Linked DNA regions of Macaca fascicularis. The protein of the gene in region 1 purifies or fractionates together with the protein of each later gene. This does not show direct contact. Links are inferred from orthologs where the notes say so. Each region holds a gene or a part of one and is shown in the gene's direction. Other genes may lie near its edges. The genes, in order: DDX6, PATL1, ATXN2L, G3BP2, PABPC4, LSM12 and DCP1B.

Region 1 (4,187 bases):
CAAGGTGCAAGGCTATTTCCTTACATGAGCAGGTATTTTAAAAGCTGGGCAGGAGACGCCATACTGTAAATTTAAAATTTAAAAAAAATTTAAGGCGAACCTTCTTTTTAACCTTAAGAATAGTCTTCACTATTCTCCGCCACCTTCCCACTGGCTGTGTAGAAATAACGACCACCAGATGAGAACAGGCTATTTACTCAGAGCTGGCAAGGGAGTCAGCCGAGACCCATCACTTGGTTTGGTAGACTCATAGGCAGGCAGGGGAGTGGAAAAGCTTTACATACAGTGAAAAAAGTGAGAAACTTCAGGCTGGCTCTGATTGGAGGCTCCCGGCACCGGGAAGTTGGAGGAGGGCTAATTAGAAGCAGGGCTTCTTATGTGATTGGTGTGAGGAGCACATTTGGCTTTCTCTGATTGGCCCAGAGCTGGAAGCAGGGGCAAGAAATAGGGAAGCGGCCAGCTAAAGATCAAGTCCTGACCATTCTGGGCAGATTACTGCAGAGGTCATGGGTAGGAGGTCATGGATAGGTTTGGCCATTCTTTGTATACTCAAGTCTCTCAATTGGGCGAGACCCAGATATTGTTTCGCTTGACCTAGTTAGCTTTTAACTCCAAAGTTTTGTTTAACTTGGAAGAAGACAGCAGTTCTATTATTTCTGTCAAGGATAAACAGAGACATTGGGATCTGAAAAGTAATTATGGAAAGATAAATAAATATCTTTATAGTGAGGGTCAGCCAGGAGGAATCACCCTCTGCCTTCAGGTTCTCCATTTCCTTACTGAATTCCTACTTCCATTATAACGGACGATTCAGTAGCTTCCCTCCCTTTGGGGGAGGGCCCGGCCTCCTCCGCTCCCACTTTCTTGAGTTCTTGAGTCTTGCCCTTCGACGGCAGGAGAAGAGGGTTGCGCCCTACCAACTCCTCACTTTACAGTCCAGCTTCTCCCCCCACCACTCCGGTGAGCTACCCCTGCTCCATGCGTTCCGGAGTAATCCCCCTCAGTCGCACTCTCACAGCCCGGCCCCTGCCCCCGCCTCATCCCCAGCTGTGCCTTCACCTCCCGGTTGCTCCCCAACAGGTCCCCCAAGATACGCCCTCACAGTGCGGTCCCCCGCCGTCCTCTCCCGGCGCACGCTCAAGCCCGGTGCCTTCCCCCCGCGGCCCCCCGAGGCGCACCCTCAAGCTCGGTGCCTTTGCCCCACCCAGCCCCACAGGGGCGCCCTCAAGCCTAGTACACTTCACATGAGAGCCCCTGGGGCGCACCCTCAAGCTCGGTGTACCCCCCCATACAACCCGCAGGCGCGCCCTCTTGCCTGGAGCCTTCCCCCGCCCAGGCACACCCTCAAGCCCGGTGCCTGCCCCCACCCCCAACCAGCCCCCCAGGCGCACTTTCAAGCCCGGAGCCTTCCCCTAGCCAGGCGCGCCCTACTGGCCCGCCCTGCCCCTCCGCGAAGCGCCCCCCGCGCGCTCCCTGGAGTCCTCCCTCCTGCCTGTCGCGGCCTCCAGGCCCGGTCGGCCCCCCTTCCGGCCCCCACACTCAGACGCGTGCCCCGCGTCTCCGGGCCGCTAGTCCCGCGCCTTCCTGGATGGACGCGGCCCCTTACGCCCGGCATCAGCCTCCCCGGCTAGCACGAGAAGTCAGGTCAGCTTCCTGTCCCCGAGCAGCTGCCCGGGGGCCAGTTTTCAAAACATAGCCTTAGACATGTAATAAAGAGATGCTCCTCTGGTCTCAACTCCCTATTTTTACTTTGGAGGGGCGAAGGCAGGGCTACCCTTGCCAGCCACCATTCCCCAATCACTTCGCAGCTGTGGAAAAGCAGCCGTCCTGTCCCTTCAGAAAGGAACTCATATTTCCCCCTCGAACTTTTCTCGTCGGTGTGAGAGAAGGGCCCTCCATTTTCTCCTCAGGAGGCTTTTGCGGCCCGGCTTCCTCTCACCACCAGGCCGGGAAGGCAGTGACGCCGCCGCGGATGTAGCCGCGGCGGCCGAGGTTTCGCCATCTTGAGTGGAGGAGGAGCCGCGGTCGCCGCCATGCGGAGAGGCAGGGAAAGAGGGAGGAGGCGGCGGGCAGGCGAACGGGCGAGCGAGGGAGGGGACAGAGGAGCCGAGTTAGCTCAGCCCGGCGGCGACTTCGGCGGCGCCACGAGAGCGGGCAGCGGAGGAGGTAGGGCTGGACGGCCGGGGGAGCCGGCGGCGCGGGCGGCTGGGCTGCGCGCCCCTCGGAGCCGGGTGGGGGCGGGGGCGGGAGGAGGCCGTAGCGAGGGGGCCGAGTGGGGGCGGGCGGAGGTTTCCGAGGAGGAAGGAGCGGCCGCCATTTTGGGAGCTTCGAGTCAACAATAAAGGACCGAGGGTGCCGAGCGGGAGTGGCCTCCTTGGTAGGACACGGGCCCGAGCCGCGAGGCCTGGGGTGAGGTGGTGGGGTCGAGGTCAGCGGCGCTGTGGGGGCTGCGGGGAGTCTCCCGGGCCGGCTCTGGGGGACTCTCTTGGGCGGAGGCCTAAGGCCTGGCCGGGCCTGGGGAGGAAGGCGGGCGGCAGCTGTGTGGGGTGGGGGCGCCTGAGAGGAGGCGAATATAGGAATGTGGTGCGCGGCAGGGTCGGCAGGAGGAGCAGGCTAAGTACTCGGAGGAGCTTTATCGAAGATGAGGGAATATGAGGCCGAAGGGGGCGGCAAGGACTTAGGGGGATGATGGTGGAGGTTATAGGGTACGAGGCGGCCCTATAGGGGGCGGCAGGGACATGCTGTATTGGAAGGCTCGGTTTAGAAGCGAACTGACCGCTGCTTGATTGCGGTAGGCCTTGCAGGTCAATAACAAGAGGGTGTATATGGAGCCCCAGACTCTTGGAGGAAAGGAGGGGGATTTCTGGGTTGGGGGGTCCCTTTGGGGCCTTCTTGGGGGAGTCCCTATTGTTTGCTACTGATGGAGCTGGTTGCCGGTTCATATTGCGCAGATAGGATTGCAGAGCCCCAACCTTTTGTGTTTATGGTCAGAGGGAGCTGACTTGACGTGTGTGTGTTTGGGGCGAGGGGCAGCAGGGGGGAGGGCAAGAAATTTCCCTACAATTGTGGGGCTCCAGTCATTGACTTGTCTCTTTCCCTTATCTCTTTCTTTTCCCTTCCACAGCCCCCCTTTCCCTTCAGAATAAAACCCAGTCACTCCAACTTGCAGGCAAAGCTTAGAAAAACTGCGCTGCATTTGCAAACAAAAGCTCTTGTTGGCGATGACGATACTGTTTTGGGTGTGAAACTGTCAATTGCTAACTATGATCTGAGAAGTGCTGTAATTAACTCCGCTAGGGGCTCCTCCCAACTAGTCTACGTTTCTAGTCTGTTTCTCGTTTTTTTGTGTTTTGTTTTGTTTTGTTTTGAAAATGTAGAAAGATAACTTGAAAATATAAATTGGGAAGGAATAGGAGGAATATTTCCTTCTCTGAGACAAAGCTGCAGTGCAGGTTTCAGTTTAAGGGAGCAGTTATCACATAGTCTCATTTTGGATTTAAGGATATAGGAGGTCTTACTGTGCATGATGGACAGTAATGATGATATCGTTCGGTCTTTAGAGGTTGCCCTTTTCATCCTCTTAGTGCTCTGCAAACAGCTAAGTCTCTGTGTGAACTGCGTGATGTCGCTGATCATAATATAAACCCGTCAATACAGGAAAGTAGCTGTTAACCATATCTGCTTAAGATGTCAGAAGGACTTTAAAGTAAACAACTTTGTGTATGTGATAATCAGGATTTGCTTGTGAGCAACTTGTTCTTTTTTTTTTTTTTTTTAAGGAAGGCATAATCAAGGAGCATTTTCTCATAAATTTTGAGATCTGTTGACTTTAAAATTTTGAGTTTCACATGCCTTGGTGTATGGCAGAAAGAATCAGCACTTGTAAGCTGTGTATTTTATGTAAGAAATGTGACGGGGTTGCTGGGTGCGGTGGCTCACGCATGTAATCCCAGCACCTTGGGAGGCCAACCAAGGCAGGCGGATCAGCTGAGGTCAGGAGTTCGATACTAGCCTGGCCAACATGGCAAAACCCTGTCTCTCCTAAATATACAAAAAATTTAGCTGCGCGTGGTGGCGGGCGCCTGTAATCCCAGCTACTCTGGAAGCTGAGACAGGAGAATCGCTTGAACGCAGTAGGCGGCGGTTGCAGTGAGCCGAGATAGTGCCACTTCACTCCAACCTGCGTG
Region 2 (3,500 bases), about 100 Mb from region 1:
AGATCTTCCTCTTTGTAGCTACAGCCTGGACGGATGTCTCCCAGCCAGTTTGCACGGGTGCCTGGATTTGTTGGTAGTCCACTTGCTGCCATGAATCCCAAGTTGCTACAAGGGCGAGTTGGGCAGATGCTTCCCCCAGCACCAGGCTTCCGTGCCTTCTTTAGTGCTCCACCCTCCGCTACACCACCTCCACAGCAGCACCCTCCTGGCCCAGGACCCCACCTGCAAAACCTAAGGTATACAAAATCAATGCCACTATTTATCAATTATCAGCCAAGTCTCTTGATTGTGGATGTGTAGTTTTATAAGTCTCTTGATATTTGCTAACTAATAAATTTTAAGATGTTATTGGATCCTCAGGTTGACAAACATGGAAATGTTTGACAATCTCCAGGCTTTCTTGTGAATCACATTTTTCTCACATTACCAGAAGGTATGGAATAGAGCAACAGATGCTGAAAAGTCAGCTAATCTTCACACTAGCTAAGTTGTTTGCTTTTATCCTCTGGTTTTATAACAAAAGGGGTTCAAGTTCCTGTTTCGGTGAAGTTGTGTTTTATTACATATCGTATTGTGGCAGTCAGGATTTTCAAGAGACACCCGAGAACCAGTAGAGGAAAGAGAGCAAGAATGTTCATGTGAGCAAGTTTTATTTTAAGAAATCGGCTCATGTGATTGTAGAGACTGACAAGTTCGAAATCCGTAAGACAGACCAGCAGGCAAGAAACAGTTTTTAAAAGCTCAAGTTGCAGTCTTGAGTTTGAAATAAGTATAGCAGGTCAGCAGTCAAGACACTCAAGCAGGATTTCTGTGTTCCACTCTTGAGGCAGAATTCCTTCTTCTGGGAAACTTTAGTTTGTTATAAATGTTAATCACATCTTTACAAAATACCCTCACAGCAACATCTAAGCAGTGTTTGACCAAATAACTGGGTACTAAGGCCTAGTCATATTAACTATCACACATATATCTTTAATAATATTCCCACATAGTTGAAACTGAGTATGTTAAACCTACTTAGAGACTTCTGTTAAACAGTTAAAAGCAAAAAGAAAAAGAATTATACTGCTTTACTCCTAATTCACTCAGATTTCATGATCACCCTTTTAGAACTTGGTCTTTGTGGAAGATATGTAAAAATATGACTATCTTTTGCTTCTAAAAGGTCTCCTTAGAATGGACTTTTTTATTTTTTTATTTTTTTGAGACAGAGTCTCACTCTGCCTCCCAGGCTGGAGTGCAGTGACCCACACGATATCGGCTCACTGCAAACTCTGCCACCTAGGCTCAAGCGATTCTACTGCCTCAGCCTTCCAAGTAGCTGGAACTGCAGGCGCCTGCTACCACACCCAGCTAATTTTTGTATTTTTAATAAAGACAGGGTTTCACCATGTTGGCCAGGCTGGTCTCGAGCTCCTGACCTCAAGTGTTCCACCCGCCTTGGCCTCCCAAAGTGCTGGGATTACACACTGCACCCAGCCCGAATAGACTTTTGTAGTCCCTTAAGTTAACCTGTATGAAGTTATCCTGTACTGACAACATTCTTTAAAATTTCAAATCATCAGGATGACCAAACTGAGAACCTCTGTTCCATTTTTCTTAGATCTCAGGCCCCAGTGTTTAGACCGGACACAACTCACCTTCATCCACAGCACCGTCGACTCTTGTATCAGAGACAGCAACAGAATAGAAAGTAAGTACTCATCCAACTCCTTTATGGCTTCTTAATTCAGCTTTTAATTTTGACAGTGTAACAACATGCTATTTAGTTGTTTGTTTTTTTTGTAAGTTTACTTCGTATCCGTAAACCTGAATGTATTATCAACATGTAAATATGAAAAGCATAATATTGAGTAAAGAAGCAAGGAACGGAATTACATGTACCATTTATGTAAAACTAAAAGGCACACAGAATAATACTGTGTAATATTTAAACACAGACACACAAGTAATAAACGTACAAAAACATTTCAGGGAGGATACATACCAAGGCATGATAGTGGTTCCTCTATGAAGGAAGAGAAGCTGGAAACTGGGTCTAGAGGGGTACAACAGGGCCTCTGTCAGTGTAACACTGTGTTATTTTAATATTACTTTAAAATATTTGAAGCAAATTCAACCAAATACATTTTTTTCTATTAGGTCTAGGTGATGGGTAAATGGATATTTATTATAGTATTTGCTGGGCTTTTTCTCTGAATTTGAAATATTTCGTGATTTTTAATGAGTTTAAAATATTTATGTATACTTCAGAGCTAAATCGCCTGTGTCAAAATCCCTTAGTCCACCACTAGATGTATGGCTTTGGACAAGTTACTTGATCTCTCTTTGGCGTCGGTTTGTTGTCTTAAGTGGGGAAGAGAAAACTACCTACCTCACAGAGTTATTCTAGAGCTTATACAAAAGTCCATAGGTGAATATGCTTAGCATATGGAAAGGTACTCAGATCTTAGTTTTATTTCTTGATTATTTATTACATAGCTCTTTCCTCTTAAATTCTATTAAAACTTAGTTCTTTTTCACTCCCCTTTTAAGAAAAGCAAGGGGAATCTTTAAAAAAAAAAAAAAAAAAAACTGGCCTCATTTATTCCTCTGTGTTAAAAAGCGTAATTAATTTGCCCACTTGGAGTGAATGTGGTGTATGTTTTTCAGTCAGCATCGGAATCTCAATGGTGCAGGAGATAGAGGAAGTCACCGGAGCAGTCATCAAGATCATCTCCGAAAGGATCCATATGCCAATCTCATGTTGCAGCGGGAAAAGGATTGGGTCTCCAAAATCCAGATGATGCAACTGCAAAGCACTGATCCCTACCTGGATGATTTTTATTACCAGGTAAATACTCTGTGCTAGTTTTGAGGATAATAGTTTGGTCCCCTACACTGGTAAGGGTATTCATTTAAATATTGGTACAATTAAATATTTGTAAAATTTTCTTTTGAGATACTTAGCCTCTTGCACTACTCACTATCAGTACATTTCTAGAACTGAACTTGTGTTACTGTCACTGGCATAAATTATTTGATGGTAAACAACAGTCGTGTTCTGTGCTTATGTTACAACCGAAATCATCCTCTCATGGTAGAATTACTTTGAAAAACTGGAGAAACTGTCAGCTGCTGAAGAAATACAAGGTGATGGCCCTAAGAAGGAACGCACCAAGCTTATCACCCCTCAGGTGGCCAAACTGGAGCACGCCTATAAGCCAGGTAAGGTCCTCATAAGAAAAATGCCCATAATAAAAGAAATTTGAGAAGCCGCTGATTAAATATAGACAAGTGTATATGTGGACGGATATGTAAAGACGTTTCAAAGTGATTTTAAAGTACCATTGTCCTTAATAAATGCAAAACTCAGCCTTTATTCGAGCCTGGACTGAACGCGTTGACATGTGCCTTTTCAGGTCCTTTTCTACTTGAGATTTCATGATTTTTTAAATGTATTCTAATTTTCAGTACCCCTAAAATAAGGGGGAAATACTTTAGATTTTTTATTGTGATAA
Region 3 (3,500 bases), on another chromosome or scaffold:
CCTTTTTCTCTGGGTGTCCAGGGTCACCGTCCCTGCTCCTACTTACTCTACCTTGTGGAACTATTCCCTCAAAGGTTTTGTTTTGTTTTGTTTTGTTTTGTTTTTGAGATGGAGTCTCGCTGTGTAGCCCATGCTGAAGTGCAGTGGCGCAGTCTCGGCTCACTGCAAGCTCCGCCTCCCAGGTTCACTCCATTCTCCTGCCTCAGCCTCCTGAGTAGCTGGGACTACAGGCGCCTGCCACCACACCTGGCTGATTTTTTTGTATTTGTAGTAGAGACGGGGTTTCACCGTGTTAGCCAGGATGGTCTTGATCTTACCTAGTGATTCGCCCACCTCGGCCTCCCAGAGTGCTGGGATTACAGGCGTGAGCTACCACACCCAGCCTCCCTCAAAGGTTTTAAGCACGTAAGTGCTCCTGACATTCCCAGATAAGCCTTGGTGCTCTACCTAGGACTGGTGCTCTACCTGGGACGCAGTCGGTGCCCGTTACCCAGATGTTGAGTTGAAAGGATTAAATACTGGCCGGGCGTGGTGGCTCATGCTTGTAATCCCAGCACTTTGGGAGGCCAAGGCGGGTGAATCACGAGGTCAGGAGATCGAGACCATCCTGGCTAACATGGTGAAAACCCGTCTCTACTAAAAAGACAAAAAAATTAGCCAGGTGTGGTGGCGGGCGCCTATAGTCCCAGCTACTCGGGAGGCTGAGGCAGGAAAATGGCGTGAACCCGGGAGTCAGAGCTTGCAGTGAGCCGAGATCGTGCCACTGCACTCTAGCCTGGGCGACAGAGCGAGACACTTGTCTCAAAAAAAAAAAAAAGAAAGGATTAAATACTTACATGCCTGAACTGGTGATTGGAGTTGTTGAAGTGTTTTTTCTTTTTTCCTCTTTTGTCCCCTGGCACTGGGATGGTGGTGGTCTGTGGGTGCTGTCTCAGGGTGCCCTTAGAAAAGGACAACTCAGAAGAATTTCGTCAGCGAGAGCTGCGTGCAGCCCAGTTGGCTCGAGAGATTGAATCAAGCCCCCAGTACCGCCTGCGGATCGCCATGGAGAACGATGATGGGCGCACTGAAGAGGAGAAGCACAGTGCGGTCCAGCGGCAGGGTTCGGGTCGGGAGAGCCCCAGCTTGGCATCCAGGTGACTGTCGTGAACAGCCAGGACTATTTGGGGCTTCTGGGAGTGTCCTGGGGCCTGGGCCCAGAATTGATGGGTGCTGTGGTTTAAAGTTTCAAAATTTTGGTTTACGTTCTCTTTTTCTCTGTATTCATTTTTATATATGTGCTATTTTTTCTTATAAAAGTGAAATGTAACTGGATTCCTTGTGTTTTACAAAAACTGTCCTTGAAACTATGGTGTGATCCTAACTTTGTCATAGGTCAGGAGTTGTAGAATTGTGGAGCATTGGCCAGGTTGGTTGGCTCAGAGTTGATGTCACATAAGGTCATAAGTCTGTAGCCATAGAACATTAAACTGGGGCAGATCTTCAAGTGGAATAGTGCTGGAGCCAGGCAGTGTATGTGTGTTTGGGGGCAGAAGGGAGAGACTTTAGAAGAAGAAGAAAACGTGAGTTTCGTGGCTACCTGGCCTTATTTGAACTCTTTCCTCAGGGAGGGGAAGTATATCCCTCTGCCTCAGCGAGTCCGAGAAGGTCCCCGGGGAGGAGTTCGATGCAGCAGCTCTCGGGGCGGTCGGCCTGGCCTTAGCTCTTTGCCACCTCGTGGCCCTCACCATCTGGACAATAGCAGTCCTGGCCCAGGTTCTGAGGCCCGTGGTATCAATGGAGGTGAGTTATGAGGTGACTTTGAGGGGCAGGGCAGGGAAGGGGATGCCGAGGAGGTAGGAGGGTAACTGGAGGGGTTTGGATGGGTTGGAATGACACTGCATCGGTGGGAATATAATAGGTCATCTGCCTCCTCTGACGTTTTCTTCATCTTAAAAAAAAAAAAAAAACAGGCCCTTCCCGCATGTCCCCAAAGGCACAGCGGCCTCTGAGAGGTGCCAAGACTCTGTCTTCACCCAGTAATAGGCCTTCTGGAGAAACTTCTGTTCCACCTCCTCCTGCAGGTAAAGCTTTAGTAGTGTTGGATGAAGAAATGGATGGAAATTTGTAAAGAGATATAAATATGTCCAGTTGTTACAAATGCTGGAATGGGAGATAATTTTAAGATAGATATTTTGGGCGTTTGGGATTTAGTCATATTGGGAAATAGTTCTTTAATTTCCCTAGTGCAGAAATCTCAACCTGGCAATTCATAGGTTGTGTCTGTTTGGCAGACATCCTTTGTTTAGATTTGAATCAGTTGCTAACTTTTCTGGGGTTTCTTTTGGTTTGTTTGTTTTTTGAGACGGAGTCTCGCACTGTCACCTGGGCTGGAGTGCAGTGACGTCATCTTGGTTCACCGCAACCTCCACCTCCCGGATTCAAGCGATTCTCCTGCCTCAGCCTCCCGAGTAGCTGGGATTACAGGCGCCCACCACCACGCCTGGCTAAATTTTTTGTATGTTTAGTAGAAGCGGGGTTTTACTATGTTGGCCAGGCTGATCTTGAACTCCTGATCTCAATATCCGCCCACCGCACCTCCCAGAGTGCTGGGATTACAGGCATGAGCCACCACATCCTGCCAGTTGCTAACTTTTAAAACAGTCTGAGGCAGGCAGATTGCTTGAGCCCAGGAGTTCAAGACCAGCCTGGGCAACATGGCAAAACCCTTCTGCAAAAAATAAAAAGATTGATTAGCTAGGCCTGATGGCGTGCACCTGTGCTCCCAGCTACTTGAGAGGCTGGGGGCGGGGAATCGCTTGAGCCCAGGAGGCTGAGGTTGCAGTGAGATGGCATCATACCATTGTACTCCAGTCTGGGGAACAGAGCGATACCCTGTCTCTACATAAATAAAACAGTAGAAGCCATAGAAAATTTTAGTTTCTTTTGGATTACAGGAAGTTCTGCCAACTGAGCTTGCCTTGCTGCATAGCTCAGGTTGACTGGGACAGAATCCCAGCCACCCCTTTAAGCATTCCAGTCACCGATGATGCCCATGAGGCCATTTACCTGGTTGTGTTACCTGCCTTGGCCTTCTAGACACTTAAGTTGGTGACTCTGGTTGTATAGTGTGTAAACTTTCTTGCTGTTTTGAGTAAGGCCCTTGTATTCACTGCTGTTGACTAGCAGTAACCGTCCTACAGCTCCCCCTTTTCTTCCAGTGGGCCGGATATATCCCCCGCGTTCTCCCAAGTCTGCTGCCCCTGCCCCAATCTCAGCTTCCTGTCCTGAGCCTCCCATCGGCTCGGCAGTGCCAACCTCTTCAGCCTCCATCCCTGTGACCTCATCAGTCTCAGATCCTGGAGTGGGCTCCATTTCCCCAGCTTCTCCAAAGATCTCCCTGGCCCCCACAGATGGTAAGAGCTAGGTGTTTGAGTGCCATTAATGCATATTTAGTGTGATTTGTGGTTCTGGACAGAAGGATTTTTAGGCATTTCCCTCTCCTTGCACAGTAAAAGAAC
Region 4 (2,859 bases), on another chromosome or scaffold:
TCACTGTGTTCCTCGTGTTATTGGGAGAATCATAAGATTTTATGTGTATATATATACATATACACTAATATGTATAGACTACATAAATGTGATAATTCCTGTTAAAATTTACTGATTTGCTGTAATGTCATACAGCCAAAGAATTTTGAATTTCAAAAGACTAAGCAAATATTTAGTAGAGCTGTACCTCACTGTCTGAAATCTGCTTGGTTCCTGGGTGATGGCAACAGTTTGGTTAAGGAGGAATACCTGTACTGGTATTTGATTTTTGTATAATCCAGTAGATCTAGAAGAAGCTATTTTAGCAACCTAGTCATTGTCCTCACTTTACATTTTAGTGTCATGCTGTTTTCTAACCTACTAGTAATAAGTAGTTTTGCCTCTTTTTCAAGAAGCTCACCAACTCTTATTAAACTAAAACAGGAATATCAATATTGTGATTTTTACATTCATTCTGTTGAAGTAGTTTTTATGATATTGTAAACTTTAATATCTGCTCTATTTCTGTTCTCAGGCAGAGGAGATATGGAACAGAATGACTCTGACAACCGTAGAATAATTCGCTATCCAGATAGTCATCAACTTTTTGTTGGTAACTTGCCACATGATATTGATGAAAATGAACTAAAAGAATTCTTCATGAGTAAGTGATTTATTTTGCTGTAGAAGTTTTTAAATTATTTTAAATTAAGAGGCATATGGAGCTTTTTAAATGACTATTTTAAAAAAATGTTTCTCTGTTTATACTGTGTCCAGCTACCAGACTCACCTTAATTGTGCAGAAGGGAGTAGGCTATCTCAGATGTTTCTCAGTGACTGCTTAGTGTTGATTTCGCCTGGCTCGACAGTGTTTAGAAGAAACAGCTGGATAAATCAGTCATAAATTCAGAGATAAAGAATTCATTTGGCAAACGGGTCAATATATTAGGAGAAAACACATTGTCTTTCCAGAGTTACACAGTTTACGTATGAAAGGACTAACAAAGATGCAGAAAGGTAACACAACAGGCAGGCAGGCTACTTGGTATCTTAGGTGATTGCCTGCTTCAGTAAATGTAGGTTGGCTATCACTGTGTGTAGAAGCTTGCAAGTTTTATTTTAAAATGGATCAGGGAGATTAAGATTATTCATCCTGAACAGTTTGAGCCATCAAGGTATTCTGTTAAAAATATTTAACCCTTGATGTAATGTATATTTTCACAGGTTTTGGAAACGTTGTGGAACTTCGCATCAATACCAAGGGTGTTGGGGGAAAGCTTCCAAATTTTGGTTTTGTGGTTTTTGATGACTCTGAACCAGTTCAGAGAATCTTAATTGCAAAAGTAAGTGATTTAAAGGGCATAATTCAAGACTTTATTATTTTGTTGTATATATTAATTTGGGGTATTTAAAAACCATAGAAAATCTTTTAATAATAAAGCTAAAAATAGTTATTAAATGGTATTTATGCAAAGAATAAAGATTTGTTAGCAGTTTGTGGATCATTTTAAATTTTGTTACTTGCTTTGCTGAAGAAGGTGGGAAAGATTGCATGTTAAGAATTTTGGCTGGGTATAGTGACTCACACTTGTAATCCCAGCACTTTGGGAGGTTAAGGCAGGAGGATTGCTTGAGCTTAGGAGAGTTCAAGACCAGCCTGGGCAACAGTGAGACATTGTCTTTTTTTTTTTTTTTTTGAGATGGAGTCTCGCTCTGCCGCCCAGGCTGGAGTGCAATGGCCGGATCTCAGCTCACTGCAAGCTCCGCCTCCCGGGTTCACGCCATTCTCCTGCCTCAGCCTCCCGAGTAGTTGGGACTACAGGCGCCCGCCACCTCGCCCGGCTAATTTTTTGTATTTTTAGTAGAGACGGGGTTTCACCGTGTTAGCCAGGATGGTCTCGATCTCCTGACCTCGTGATCCGCCCGTCTCGGCCTCCCAAAGTGCTGGGATTACAGGCTTGAGCCACCGCGCCCGGCCAAGACATTGTCTTTACAAAAAAAGAAAAATAGTCGGCCATGGTGGTGGACACCTATAATCCCAGCTACTCAGGAGGCTGAGGTGGGAGGATCACTTGAGCCCGGGATGTCAAGGCTGCAGTGAGCCATGCTTGTGCCACTGGCTGTCACCAGCCTGGGTGACAGCTGAGACCCTGTCTCTGGGGGCAGGGGGCTTATAAAAGTGTTTTGTTCCTTATGCTTATCTAACTTACCTGTTCAGAGTAATACATTTCTACTGCTGTCTAACCTGCCCGTGTAAATATTTTTCTCCTCTTTTATAAAGCCAATTATGTTTCGAGGGGAAGTACGTTTAAATGTTGAAGAGAAAAAAACAAGAGCTGCAAGAGAGCGAGAAACCAGAGGTGGTGGTGATGATCGCAGGGATATTAGGCGCAATGATCGAGGTCCTGGTGGTCCACGTGGAATTGTGGGTGGTGGAATGATGCGTGATCGTGATGGAAGAGGACCTCCTCCAAGGGGTGGCATGGCACAGAAACTTGGCTCTGGAAGAGGAACCGGGCAAATGGAAGGCCGCTTCACAGGACAGCGTCGCTGAAGCTCCACTGTTGGCAAAGTCTTGGCAGTGGTACATTATTCATCGTGTTTGCATTCTTGTTAATTTTTTTTTTGGCTTTGGAATGTGACACAGCCTTTTTGATCATTTCTTTGATGTGAAAAGCATCTTTTGGTTATCAGTTAAATTGAGGTGGACATTATTTCCCCAATTTCACAACAGGATTCACATTGTTAATTTATAAATCTAGACTTGGAGAATTAAGGACTGAGAAATGACCATATCTTAAACTATCTACGACAAAGTGAACTTAAAAGGACATGCCCACTGAATTCAGGTCCTTTGAGTCAAAAAAAAATCTTCTGCTG
Region 5 (3,997 bases), on another chromosome or scaffold:
ATTATCTCAGTTCACCGCAACCTCTGCCTCCACGGTTCAAGCGATTCTCCTGCCTCAGCCTCCTGAGCAGCTAGGATTACAGGGGTTTCTTCATGTTGGTCAGGCTAGTCTCGAACTCCCGACCTCAGGTGATCCACCTGCCTCGGCCTCCCAAAGTGCTAGGATTACAGGCTTGAGCCTGGCAAGTGATATGACTTTCAAATGACCTGCCAGACCCTGATGCAGATGAAAAGTCTTTTTATAATTATCCAAGCGTATAAGAAACTTTAAACATAGGAGTAGAAAGTATTTCTGGGCCCTTAAATACAAACTAAATGTCCGGGAATGCCACCAGCATGTCAATAGAAGGGATGCTTGTGTTTGGTTTCATTGAAGCTTTACCAAAATGTGCTCATCTTTTCAGAAAATCCCATCACCCATGGATACTGCTTGCATTTCCAGCTCTTGACGATTCTACCTCTAGGCCAACAGTATTCTGAAAACTTCACAAACATTTACCTATTGGACCACCTATTACTTTAACTTATTTTATGTCACCTTCATTTCACAATTAGGCTTACTATCTAATTTTTTTTTTTTTTTTTTAGATGGAGCCTCGCTTTGTTGCCCAGGCTGGAGTGCCGTGGCTCAATCTCGGCTCACTGCAAGCTCCGCCTCCCGGGTTCAAGCGATTCTCCTCCCTCAGCCTCCTGAGTAGCTGAGATTACAGGCGCGTGCCACCACGCCCGGCTCATTTTTTGCATTTTTAGTAGAGACTGGGTTTCACCTTGTTAGCCAGGATGGTCTTGATCTCCTAACGTCATGATCCACCCACCTCGGCCTCACAAAGTGCTGGGGTTACAGGCGTGAGCCACTGCGCCCGGCCCCATACCATTTAATTTTAAACCTCATGCGTGTGTGCAAGTTAAATGGCTTCTAGGTTCCATTCCCGGGTGATGGGTAGGAGGGTCTTAAGATTCATTGGTTATAGAAAGGGGCCCTGGGGGTCTCCTGCAACCGCGAGCTTAGGCGGTCCTCCGCGCGCCAGGGGTCGCTGTGGCGCCGCGCGGCCGCGCCGGGTCGCTCTCGCGTGGCCGCCCCGCCTCGGGCCCCCGGGCCGAGTGGGCGGGCACGACTGCGCCCAGGTCGCGAGGCGCCCTTCGACCAGCAGCGCCCGGGGCGGGCGGGTATAAATGGAGCGGTGGCTCCCTCGGCCGCCTCTCTCCGCCCCGGGTCGCTGCCGCCTGCGCCGCTTTCGGGCTCCGCAGCCTGAGGAAAAAAAGAGAAAAAGATAAAAAAAAATCCGAAAACGCTTCAAAATCCTGAAAAAAAAAAAAAGGAAAAGAAAAAGCGAATCCTCCTCGGAGAACCCGCGGGGAAGTCACTTTCGCACGCTTCCGGCCTGCCCCGCGCCCGCCGCCGCCGCGCTTGGCGTCCGTCGGTCTCCGTCCATCGGTCCGGGGGTGAGCCGCCCGCCCGGCCCGTCGCGCCCTCCCCACGCTCGGGCCCGAGCCCCGCGCCGGCCCCGGCGCACCACGTGTCCGCGCTGCCCTTCGCCGCCCGCCCGGGGCTCGCCGAGTCGGCGCCCACAAAGATTTGGTTTCCCTCTGCCCCGGCGGTTGTAATCTTAAACCGCCGGAGCCCGAGGCCTATATTTATAGAGAAACGCGTGTCCCCGGGGCCGCCGTGGGTAGCGTCCGGTCGCCTCTTAAAGGATTTTTACCGTTCGGAAGGGGATTCCCCGTTTAATTTTTTTCCTACTTTGATTTTTTGAAATTTGGAGCTTCGCACCAGGACCGCGGAGAAGTGCAAAGTCGTGGGGAGGGCCGTATTGTGCGGAGAGCCTTTTGTCTGCGGTGCCGCGGCCGTGGGAGCCGGCCCCCGCCTCCCGTTTCCGTCCCATCTCCGAGCCCGCCGACTCCAGCTCGTCCTCGCCGCCCCGGTGCCACCTGTGAGCCGCGGCGCGGGCCCGGGCTCTGAGGGCGCCCCTTTTGTCCTGCGGCGGGCCCGATAAGAAGTCCTCCTGGCGGGGCTCGGGGTGGTGGGGGGCGGGGAGATGAACGCTGCGGCCAGCAGCTACCCCATGGCCTCCCTGTACGTGGGCGACCTGCACTCGGACGTCACCGAGGCCATGCTGTACGAAAAGTTCAGCCCCGCGGGGCCTGTGCTGTCCATCCGGGTCTGCCGCGATATGATCACCCGCCGCTCCCTGGGCTATGCCTACGTCAACTTCCAGCAGCCGGCCGACGGTGAGTAGAAGCTGTGCCCACACGTGCGTGGGAGCCCGGCGGACCCCGGGAGTCGTCTTCTGGCAGGGCCCTCCTGCCAAGGAGGGCAGCATCACGACAGCATGTTGCCACCGAAGCTTGGAGCAGGGTGCAGAGATTGAGAACGCAGACCTGGCATCAGATGACTCGAGTTTCAATCTTGTTTCTACCACTTGCTAACTGGGTGACCTTGGGCTACTTACTGGTGTTGCTGGTAGTAGGGTTGGAAACCAAGGAAACTGTAAAACAGGATTAGAGTGAAGCCACTGGCATTCCACTGTGTGTGGTCCTTGTCAGTGGGGCTGGGCTGTTACAGACCCTTGCTTGTGCCCTTCACAGGCTGGCCAAAAAGGAGGGACGTTTGAAACACAATTCCCGCAAAAGTTCTACATTGTAGAGTTCCTGCCCGCTCTGCCACCTTTACTAACCTTGACTATCTGATGTTGTGCTGATAAAGGATGGGTCAGGGCAGGCAGGAAGCAGGGGGAAGGTTTCTGTGCGTTAAACTAGCAGAGATTTAGGTTAGTGCCACAGGAGCTGCGTGTGCCAGGCCAGCTCCTTAGTCTGTGTGTTTGCCACTGGAGTGGAGAAGTGCTTTGCGCTGGACAAATGGTATCCAGGCTCTGTGCTGTAAAGAGTGTTGTGGAGGTAGTTTGGGGAAGCGTCACTTGAAAATCTGGTGGCATTTGTCACCTCAGCTGTAACAGTGGTTTGCACTCATCAGAGCCCTTTTACTTCATTTAATCTGAAGAAAATGGGACTCCTGAGAAGGAAAAGGAATGCAAAAAGTTGGAAACCAAGTTGGGACTCCCAGCACAGTGCTCTGCCACCTCAGATTGTGGCCTTAGCATGGAGAGAGGTATGTTGCAGGCGTGGCAGGAGTGAGGCCAAAGGAAATCTGATCAGAGGCTGCACGTGACTCCAGATTAGAAGGGAACAACTGCAGAGATCATTACTGGGAGAAACAAGCCATGCTATGGCAAAGGATCTCCAGGTCGCTAGTTTTGAGGTCCCCACTTTGTTTTCTGTCTGAGGCCCAGAGTTACTACTTGCCCAGGTTGCAGCTGAGACCAGAGAATTGGACATGTTAAGAGGAACTAGGTATTGCTACCGTCAACCCAGTATGCTCCAAGCTGAGTTCTGTCTATGGCTATAGGAGCGCAAAGAAGGTAGCTGAGTGTGGTCTTTTTAAGGGATAATGTACCACATTAGCTGTTGTCTGCCTTCTTGACTTTTGAACAAAAGTCATGTCACTTAGAGATAGCAGAAGCCATTGGTCAGTGTGTCTGCCAACACATACTTCTGCAGGACTTCTCCCTGCTATAAATAAGTGCAGCCAGATTTGTCAGACTAAGCCGGCTTGCCTTGTGCAGTGCTGTCTGGAAATAGACGAGGAGCTGTGTTGAAATGGGCTCCTTTACTGCTAATTAATGAAATAGTTTGCGATCCCAGCTATCTATCTCTGATCGCCATCACAAGCAAACTCCTCCTTTCCTGGACTGTTCCTGACTTGGATCTGTCTTGTCATCTCCCCTTTTCCCAACTGCCCCCCATACAGATGAGCCCACCTTCTGAAGGGGGTGGGGAAGTTTGTTGGAAATAATGAGTGAAAATAAATTCTCCTGGTTAAAGAAACAGTTGAGCTTGTGGAGCGTCAGAGTTGGGGAATTTTGTCCCCCCCCTTAAGTGAGATGTTGCCTTGAGGCAAGGAGCAGATTCCACTGCTCTGACCCTGTCTAAATCCCCTCATG
Region 6 (4,203 bases), on another chromosome or scaffold:
GTTCAGGTTAAGCTGCGCCAGGACTGGTCCTTTGCCTCCCTCTGGACTACAGAAAGGTCAACCTGTTTCTCATACATGAAGCGAGGATCCAAAATTTCTATAGTGGGGGTGGGTGGATTAGCGACAGCAATTGGTAGGGCTTGAAAATACATGCACATAGTCCTTTACATAAGATTAAGAAAATGACTGTTTTGTATATCAGATGGACATTAAAGGGCAGGGGTGCAAAACCCCTCCTCCAAGTTCCTCTTTGTCACTATCTGCTGCTCCTCATTCCTGCCTTTTGCCTGGCTTTCTGGGGGAGAGGGCAAAAAGGAAGAAGAGGAAGTGTCTTGACTTCTAAGAATAATGGATGACTAAAGGGGAACTACCATTTATTAAAGACCTAGTACATGCCATGCACATATACACGTTATCGCATTTAAACCTCCTAACTATGAGGTAGGTATTATTATCTAACACAGTATAGCAGTAAATAGCACTGTCCTTGTAAATAGGTAGACTGTTTTTGCTAGTTGTGGAACCGTGGACAAGTTTAGTCTAAAACATAGTTTCTGTAAAAGGAGGACATTGATACCTACCTCAAAGGGCTGTTAGATGCTCAAGAAGTGACAATACAAATGCCTATGAAGAAACAGGATCAGGTAATTTGCTTACTCAAGGTCAGGTGATTTAGTAATAGGTTGACCTGGGATTCTGGTTCCGGCTTATCTCACTCCACAGCCAATGTTCTTTCCACTATCACTCTCTAGTTACAATCATCTTTTTTTTTTTTTTTTTGAGACGGAGTCTTGCTCTATTGCACAGGCTGGAGTGCAGTGGCACGATCTCGGCCCAGTGCAACCTCCGCCTCCCACGTTCGAGCGATCCTCCAGCCTCAGTCCTCCTAGTAGCTGGGATTACAGGCACGCGCCACCATACCCGGCTAATTTTTGTATTTTTAGTAGAGACAGGGTTTCACCATCTTGGCCAGGCTGATCTCGAACTCCCGACCTCAGGTGGTCCACCTGCCTCGGCCTCCCAAAGTGCTGGTATTACAGGCGTGAGCCACCGCTCCTGGCCGTTATAATCATCTTGTCCAAGTATTGTTAAGTCCTCTGAGGCTCTGATTCCTTATATGCAAAATGGGGTTAATATATTTTATAAAATTCATTCATTAAACTCTTGTGTGGAAGGTGTGCATATAATGGAGACTGCAGCTCTCTCCTCTTTCCCCCTTTCATTCCACGTAGGTCATTTATCCTTAACTTCTAAAATGGACTCTACAAGCATTTAACCGAGCGGACGCAGCTACACAAATATCTTTCAGATTCCCCTTTATTTCCTCGTCTTCCCTAGTCCACCTAGGTTCCCTAGCCACCCAGCGTCAGACCACGCCCCGGCGTGTGACGCAAGCACGCTCCGTGCGTCGCGTCGCGTCGCGGCGCTCACTAGGGGCCCGGCTTTCGCCCGCTGCTGCCGCCGCCGCCGCCGGCCGCGGCTGCACTCCCAAGATGGCGGCTCCTCCGGGCGAGTACTTCAGCGTTGGGAGCCAGGTGTCGTGCCGGACGTGCCAGGAGCAGCGGCTGCAGGGCGAGGTGGTAGCCTTCGACTACCAATCCAAAATGCTGGCTTTAAGTATCCTTCCCTGCGTGAAGCCCGAGTCCGGGCCGGCGTATAGGTGCGGTGGTCGGGGGGTGGGGGACGACGGCGGCGGCTGGGGCTCTCTCCGGGCCTAGGGGCGACCGGCTACCGCGGCGCCCGGGGCGCATGCGCATGGCCCTGAGTTCCCCTCCCCCTCCCGCGGGCCCTTCGGTCAGCTTTGGGGATCCTGTCTCCCCTTGCGGGAGCTGGGGCTTTACCGAGGATCAGTGGGTGGAGGAGGGCTTGACACGGGGATGGCTTTTCGGGAAGAACGTTATGAGAGGGGACACAGTGATTAGGAGAGGGGGTGGTGTTGGGAGGGGGCTGGTGGATTGGAGCCCGGATGGAAAGGAGGGGCGGGTGAAATATTATGGGGAGGGATGTTTAGGGTAAGGAACTGCTGATAGGGCAAAGGTATAGAATTTAGGAGGGCATGTGCACTGATGGGATTTCGTCCAAGGAAGGGCGGTGGGATGGTGACCAAATTGGTCCTTGCCTGTTTTGGGGGAGAGTAAGTGCAGGGCAGAGTTTGTATCTGAACTGGGGATAGTGGCTTGTTTCGCTGATGCGTGTGTATGTGTGGTGGTGGGGGGGCTGTTCTGACTTTTAGGCTTCTCGGTCATTTGGAAATCGCTGTTTGGGGGATGTTTGCATTGGAAACCTGTTCCAGAGAGGGCTTGCCGGGGCTTATGTGGGTTGGGGATGTGTGAGTTACAGGTGAAAGAGTGAAGTTCTCATGCTGCCTTGATCAGTCCAGCACATGGAGTCCTTTTACGTAGTAGTAGCAGCCTCCCTTTTGAAAGCAGCAATGTTAAATTGATTGGAAAAGGTGGCCTGCTTCTTTGGGGTGGGAATGACTTCTGAATTACTCCAGGAAACTCAGTCTTGGAAACGAAACGCTTCTTGTTGGGATAAATGTGCCACAGCTTCCCCTTTTATGGGAGCTACAGGTGGGTTTATTGGAATCTTGAAGGAGTAATTTTTTATGGTATCTTTTTTTTTTTTTTTTAAAGATGGAGTCTCGCTCTGTTCCTAGGCTGGAGTGCGGTGACGTGATCTTGGCTCACTGCAGCCTCCGACTCCCTGGTTCAAGCGATTCTCCTGCCTCAGCCTCCGGAGTAGCTGGGATTATAGGCACGCGCCACCACGCCCAGCTAATTTTTGTATCTTTTTTTTTTAACAGAGACGGAGTATCACCATGTTGGGCAGGATGGTTTCGAACTCCTGACCTCGTGATCTGCCCGCCTCGGCCTCCCAAAGTGCTGGAATTACAGGCCTGAGACACCGCCCGGCTTTGTTTTTTTTTTTTTTTTTTTTGTTTGAGACGGAGTTTCACTCCTGTTGCCCAGGCTGGAGTGCAGTGGCTTGATTTGGGCTCACTGCAACTTCCGCCTCCCAGGTTCAAGCGATTCTCCTGCTTCAGACTCCCTAGTAGCTGGGATTACAGGCATGCATCACCACACCCGGCTGATTTTGTATTTTTTTTTTTTAGTAGAGACGGGGTTTCTCCATGTTAGTCAGGCTGGTCTCAGACTGCTGACCTCAGGTGATCTGCCTGCCTTGACCTCCCAGATTGCTGGGATTACAGACGTGAGCCACCGTGCCCGGCCATGGCATCTTTCAAAATGAAGTTTCCTACTGAGTCTGCTGCCTTTGAGTGGCAAGTATTTTAATTCATTTAACCACTGCTTGTAGATTTCTAGTTTAGGAAGATGTCCTTTGAAACTAATTATAGTAAGAGTAGTTGCTTTTTTTTTTTTTTTTTTTTGAGACAGAGTCTTGCTCTGTTGCCCAGGCTGGAGTGGTGCAGTGGTGGGTGGTGCGATCTTGGCTCGCTGCAAACTCCGCCTCCCAGGTTCGTGCCATTCTCCTGCCCCAGCCTCCTGAGTAGCTGGGACTACAGGCACCCGCCACGACGCCCAGCTAATTTTTTGTATTTTTAGTAGAGACAGGGTTTCACTGTGTTAGTCTGGATGGTCTCGATGTCCTGACCTCGTGATCCGCCCGCCTCGGCCTGCCAAAGTACTGGTATTACAGGCGTGAGCCACCGTGCTAACAATAGTTGCTTTTTCAAAAAATGAGAGGTTACACCTGGAAGAAATAAGACCTTTTACATTAGTGGTTTGGTTGGAAGGGTCTTGAAACTAGGAAATACCCTTTTTTTTTTTTTTTTTGGGGGGATGGAGTCTCACTCTGTCACCTAGGCTGGAGTGCAGTGGCATGATCTCAGCTCACTGCAACCTCTGGCTCCTGTGTTCAAGTGATTCTCCTGCCTCAGGCTCCAGAGTAGCCAGGATTACAGGCATGTGCCACCACACCCGGCTAACTTTTTTTTAGTAATGACGGGATTTCGCCATGTTGGCCAGGCTGGTCTCGAACTCCTGACCTCATGTGATTCGCCTGCCTCAGCCTCCCAAAGTGCTGGGATTACAGGCGTGAGCCATTGCGCCTGGCTGAATTACTCAATTTTTAGTTGACATACAGTGGGCTCTTAAATGTTTGGAGAATGAATGTGTGAATGAATGAATGGATTAACTGGCTGGATCACCTTGGGTGAATTTCCTTTCCAGTGTGTAGTTT
Region 7 (4,155 bases), on another chromosome or scaffold:
GTTACATTAAAAATCCATTAGTCCACCTTGTCCTGGAATGGATCTTTTGCCTGTGCATGATTATGTAGCATGAGACATCAGTCATTTGGAAAATACTGGACCACTGAGTTAAGCAGATCTCTGAGATACTGACACTTTCCATTACACAAGATTTGTTAAAATTGCACTCATTAATATCATCATTGATCTCATCAGAAAAAAAAACGTTAAATATTGAGACGTTGTCAAGCTCATGGCAGCAGATACACATTTTCTAAACTTTTCATTCTGGCTTGAAGGCTTAAAAATTATCATTGGCAGCAGTAATTGTCCCTTGTTTTCCTGAAAGTGACAGGCACACTTTATTTATTTTCAGGAAAATGTCTGTCAAGTACCTGTTTGAATAATCATAGTTTGCCCATCTTTCTTTCAAGTAAAATGTTTTATGAAAATAAAAAAAAAAACATGAATTCGGCCCACAACTCAAGCACAGAAGTATTTTCCTAGAGACAAGCATGACACACTTCATTTTGTAGCAGACGTGCTTTATGCCTATTTCCTATTTTTTTCATGCAGAATACTAAAAAGAATGGTACCCAAGGATTAAGCTTCAATAAAATTTATAATTTTTACTGCTTATCAAGAACACCATCAGGTGACACTGGCTCTCTAGCTTTTTTTTTTTTTTTTAACTGAGAATGCAGGTTAGTGACACGTGCGTACTTTCACTAGCAATACAGTTTGGTGTCCCTGCCATGATTGGGTTAAGCCACCAGCACTTTTAACCACCATTGTCTGCAAATCCTCACCACAGTGAACAAGTCAAATAAGTAAGTCTTAGCATTGTCATCAAAAATTTTTTTTTTTTTGACCTTGCAGATCCCCTGAAAGGGTCTCAGAAACTCCCAAGGGGTTCCAGGACCACACCACACTTTGAGAACCACTGGGTGTTAGCGCATTCAGAAATCAATTCAGTTCTCTTTCTCTTCAGAGTTCTTGATGCTCGAGGCTTATTTATTGTGATAGGTCTGATCACTGAAGCGCCAAAGAAAAGATATGCCAAGGCGTCGAACACATCCAAGAAGGAAGTCCTACCGCGCACACAGCTCAAAGGCTCGAGCGTGAAGAAAAACAGCTCTTGGAGAAAGAAACGGGATGCAGAGGGCAGGCCTGGGCTTGTCGTTGCCAGTGGCAACGATCCTCAGTGGGCGGAGCGCGGCCATCGATTAGTGAGGCCTTGCGTCAGTCGGCGGGCGGGAGGGTGTGGGTGACTGGAGCCGGAAAAGGCCTCCCGGGCCTTGTGGTCGCGGTGGGTTCTTGGTAGCGAAGCAGCTCGCTCGTTCTGCGATCTATTGAGAGTGGCTTCCAAGAGCCCCGTGCCTATGTCGGGGAGGGAGGGAAGATGGCAGCCGTGGCGGCAGGCGGCCTGGTGGGGAAGGGGCGCGACATCAGCCTAGCGGCCCTGCAGCGCCACGACCCCTATATCAACCGCATCGTGGACGTGGCCAGCCAGGTGGCTCTGTACACCTTCGGCCATCGGGCCAACGAGTGGGTGCGTGCGGACGCGGCGGAGCAGTGCAGAGCAGGGTTGGGGTGGAGGCGGGGGGCGTCAGACTCAGGACAGGAGGACCCGGTGAGGGGGAGGAGACGTTGAAGCCCTGGAGGTGGGTGGATCTGGGGCCTGAGGCCGAAGTTGTGGAGATGCGCTCCCGGGGGTTTGGGGGAAGGGAGGCGGATCTGTGGAGCTACCTGGAGTTGGGGAAAAGACTTAAATCTCTAACGTACCCAACGCTGGGAGACCAGACCGATCGGGTACCGCACCCTGAGAGCCGAAGGAAAGGAAGGACCTGATGCCTTAAGGTCGGAAGACCGATGTGCTCGAGACAGTAAAGCAGAGTTCTGTTACAGTGAATCTGTGGCTATGGGGGAGGCAGGGACAGCAGATGAATAAAAGTGCAGAGTTCTGATTTTGGAATGTCAGTCTTAGATGGGACAAAGAGAAATCAAAACTTGATAGAAGGGGAGAAATCTGCAAGTTGTAAACTAGGGAAACGCCAAGAAAAGAGCCAACCTCGTCAAATAAAAGACAAAATGGGGCAGGGTCCAACACTTAGAAGGAGGCTGATGCTCTTGGGAGGATTATTATACGACAGCCCACCAAGTTTGATATTGGAGGCCATTTGGGAGCCAGATTATTTTAGTGCTCTTCTCAAAGCAGAGTCTCAATAAATGGTAATGGAATGAAATTTCATTGTCCTCACAGTTAGAATGGGGTAGAAGCCTAGAACACTGGAATCCTGTTGCAGGAATTGCTGCTTGTAATTTTGTAACCCACCCACTCGAATGTAGAGAGATGTAATTTTATTTCTTTCCTCATAATGATTTTTGTCCAAATAATATTCATCATCCATTATATATTGCCCATTAAATATCACATATATGATATCCATCATTTTAAAATAAGTTACAAAACAGTATGGAGAACTTAGCCTTGATGAATGGATTTCAGATAAACTTTTTGTGTTCTTCAAGTCGGTTGTATAAACACCAGAACTTAAGCAAGGAAAACATCCATGTTGAACAACTCTGTTTTTTTTTAACACCCACATTCATAAACCTACTTATCTCCAGTGTAGTTCAGCAGCCTGTAGTAAAAACTCACCTGAAAATCATTAACATAAAAATAAAAAAGCAAGCAAGAATGGGATAGACAAACAGTTTTGCCCAAAGTTCTTAACAGAGGAAATTTACAGGAATGGGGCAAAGAATTTAGGTCTGCGCTCCTAGTAGCCAAACTCAAAAGGAGAACAGGAAGAGCTCTTTAATATTCATTCTTCTGTAATAGAAAGCCTACCACTTAATCAGGAGAAAGGTTATTTCCCCCTAGTTTCCAGGGGCATTTGTCACCTAGGTCTTTACATAAAGAACATTGAGCAACATAGTAGACAGTTTCCTCCATGGTAATTAAAAGTATATATGAAGATATTCTACATAAGGCTGTTTTGCTGCTGTGTAGAAAAATGCCAAAGGCATAATGTTATAATCCTGTAAAAGTTAATTCCATAGTAGAGAGATGAGGACCAGAGATGTATAGTTGTGTAAATTGACTTGACACTGGGATTCGAGTCTGGAGCATCCTGAGAAACTATTAATATAAAGAAAGTAGAGCATTTCTCTTGAATAATAGTTGTTTCCTGTAGGCTTTTGACCGTTATCTATGTGATAGATACCTTTTAAGATAGTTACAGATGTTTATTAGATACCTAAAGCCTCATCAAAAAGCAGATGTGTCACAATGCATTATTTACAGGAGTTATGTTTTCCTGCTTGCTGGACATGTTGCCTTCAGACAGGGTATAATTCACTCAGGAAAAGGTCATTCTTTCAAAGTTCTAATATTCAAGGCTGTCGTAGCCAGAAAAACAAAGAGAGAGACCTAGTTCAGCTGCAGAGCAGTTGCTGGAGGCAAACAAATTATGACCACTGTCTCCATGTGCTGTCACTCTGGGTGGGAGCCATTTGAATGTAAACCTAATAAGAATATGAGAACATTCTTGAGAAGAGAGGAGAAAGTATTTACAAGAAGGCAGGGAAGATGTTAAAGAGGGGAATTCTTATTGCCCTGAAAATGGATGAAGAATGACTTCAGCCTTTCAGAGGAGGAGAAATTAGGAAGGAAAGGTGTATAGAAAATGAACTGCTTTAAAGAAGGATTAAGAAAGATTATGTCATGACTGGAATAGGAATTTTAGAGTTAGATCTACTCCCTGTTGTCAGGAAAGATGCCCCCCTCCAAAATATTAATACCTGTGTGTCAATTGAAGACCATAGCCCTGGTATTTTCCAGCTGTCAGTTCTTAGACCAGTGGCTCCCAGCTGGAGTTGATTTTGCCCCCAGGTGACATTTGGCAGCGTCTGGAGACGTTTTTGGCTGTCGCACTGAAGGGAAGAGTGTTAGGACATCTGCAGAATAGAGGCCAGGTGAGCTGAGCCTGAAAACTGCCCTACAGTGACTGAGGTTGTGTTCCGAGCTAGTGGTTTTCTAAGTTTTTGGTGTAGCCAATTAACTCACAGTTTTTTTAAAGTGAAAAATGCCAAACTAAAACCTCTGGATAATGAGACCCAGGCATTTGAGATTGTTGAAAGCTTCATAGGTGACGCCGATGCTACATGCAT

Evidence for each region.
Region 2: the proteins of DDX6 (region 1) and PATL1 purify together in Homo sapiens (affinity purification with mass spectrometry; 6 studies listed by BioGRID and IntAct, with this or other methods). This does not show direct contact. The link is inferred for Macaca fascicularis from reciprocal best matches to the Homo sapiens genes DDX6 and PATL1.
Region 3: the proteins of DDX6 (region 1) and ATXN2L purify together in Homo sapiens (affinity purification with mass spectrometry; 6 studies listed by BioGRID and IntAct, with this or other methods). This does not show direct contact. The link is inferred for Macaca fascicularis from reciprocal best matches to the Homo sapiens genes DDX6 and ATXN2L.
Region 4: the proteins of DDX6 (region 1) and G3BP2 purify together in Homo sapiens (affinity purification with mass spectrometry; 3 studies listed by BioGRID and IntAct, with this or other methods). This does not show direct contact. The link is inferred for Macaca fascicularis from reciprocal best matches to the Homo sapiens genes DDX6 and G3BP2.
Region 5: the proteins of DDX6 (region 1) and PABPC4 purify together in Homo sapiens (affinity purification with mass spectrometry; 3 studies listed by BioGRID and IntAct, with this or other methods). This does not show direct contact. The link is inferred for Macaca fascicularis from reciprocal best matches to the Homo sapiens genes DDX6 and PABPC4.
Region 6: the proteins of DDX6 (region 1) and LSM12 purify together in Homo sapiens (affinity purification with mass spectrometry; 5 studies listed by BioGRID and IntAct, with this or other methods). This does not show direct contact. The link is inferred for Macaca fascicularis from reciprocal best matches to the Homo sapiens genes DDX6 and LSM12.
Region 7: the proteins of DDX6 (region 1) and DCP1B purify together in Homo sapiens (affinity purification with mass spectrometry; 6 studies listed by BioGRID and IntAct, counting the BioPlex papers as one, with this or other methods). This does not show direct contact. The link is inferred for Macaca fascicularis from reciprocal best matches to the Homo sapiens genes DDX6 and DCP1B.

The regions. Positions count from the first base shown.
Region 1 is NC_088388.1:117,654,560-117,658,746, reverse strand, and holds the start of DDX6 (probable ATP-dependent RNA helicase DDX6), read left to right. Parts: upstream 1-1,387; 5' UTR 1,388-1,644; intron 1,645-2,099; exon of another isoform or gene 2,100-2,166; intron 2,167-2,574; exon of another isoform or gene 2,575-2,791; intron 2,792-4,187.
Region 2 is NC_088388.1:14,377,503-14,381,002, forward strand, and holds part of PATL1 (protein PAT1 homolog 1), read left to right. Parts: intron 1-18; coding exon 19-236; intron 237-1,603; coding exon 1,604-1,693; intron 1,694-2,652; coding exon 2,653-2,833; intron 2,834-3,083; coding exon 3,084-3,207; intron 3,208-3,500. UniProt on the Homo sapiens protein: RNA-binding protein involved in deadenylation-dependent decapping of mRNAs, leading to the degradation of mRNAs. Acts as a scaffold protein that connects deadenylation and decapping machinery.
Region 3 is NC_088394.1:27,641,933-27,645,432, reverse strand, and holds part of ATXN2L (ataxin-2-like protein), read left to right. Parts: intron 1-935; coding exon 936-1,136; intron 1,137-1,606; coding exon 1,607-1,782; intron 1,783-1,952; coding exon 1,953-2,063; intron 2,064-3,182; coding exon 3,183-3,395; intron 3,396-3,491; coding exon 3,492-3,500. UniProt on the Homo sapiens protein: Involved in the regulation of stress granule and P-body formation.
Region 4 is NC_088379.1:58,233,092-58,235,950, forward strand, and holds part of G3BP2 (ras GTPase-activating protein-binding protein 2), read left to right. Parts: intron 1-514; coding exon 515-643; intron 644-1,203; coding exon 1,204-1,322; intron 1,323-2,260; coding exon 2,261-2,533; 3' UTR 2,534-2,859.
Region 5 is NC_088375.1:195,330,754-195,334,750, forward strand, and holds the start of PABPC4 (polyadenylate-binding protein 4), read left to right. Parts: upstream 1-1,197; 5' UTR 1,198-2,035; coding exon 2,036-2,228; intron 2,229-3,997.
Region 6 is NC_088390.1:65,113,234-65,117,436, reverse strand, and holds the start of LSM12 (protein LSM12), read left to right. Parts: upstream 1-1,403; 5' UTR 1,404-1,493; coding exon 1,494-1,617; intron 1,618-4,203. UniProt on the Homo sapiens protein: Nicotinic acid adenine dinucleotide phosphate (NAADP) binding protein. Confers NAADP sensitivity to the two pore channel complex (TPCs) by acting as TPC accessory protein necessary for NAADP-evoked Ca(2+) release.
Region 7 is NC_088385.1:2,850,892-2,855,046, reverse strand, and holds the start of DCP1B (mRNA-decapping enzyme 1B), read left to right. Parts: upstream 1-1,355; 5' UTR 1,356-1,381; coding exon 1,382-1,531; exon of another isoform or gene 1,532-1,643; intron 1,644-4,155. UniProt on the Homo sapiens protein: May play a role in the degradation of mRNAs, both in normal mRNA turnover and in nonsense-mediated mRNA decay. May remove the 7-methyl guanine cap structure from mRNA molecules, yielding a 5'-phosphorylated mRNA fragment and 7m-GDP.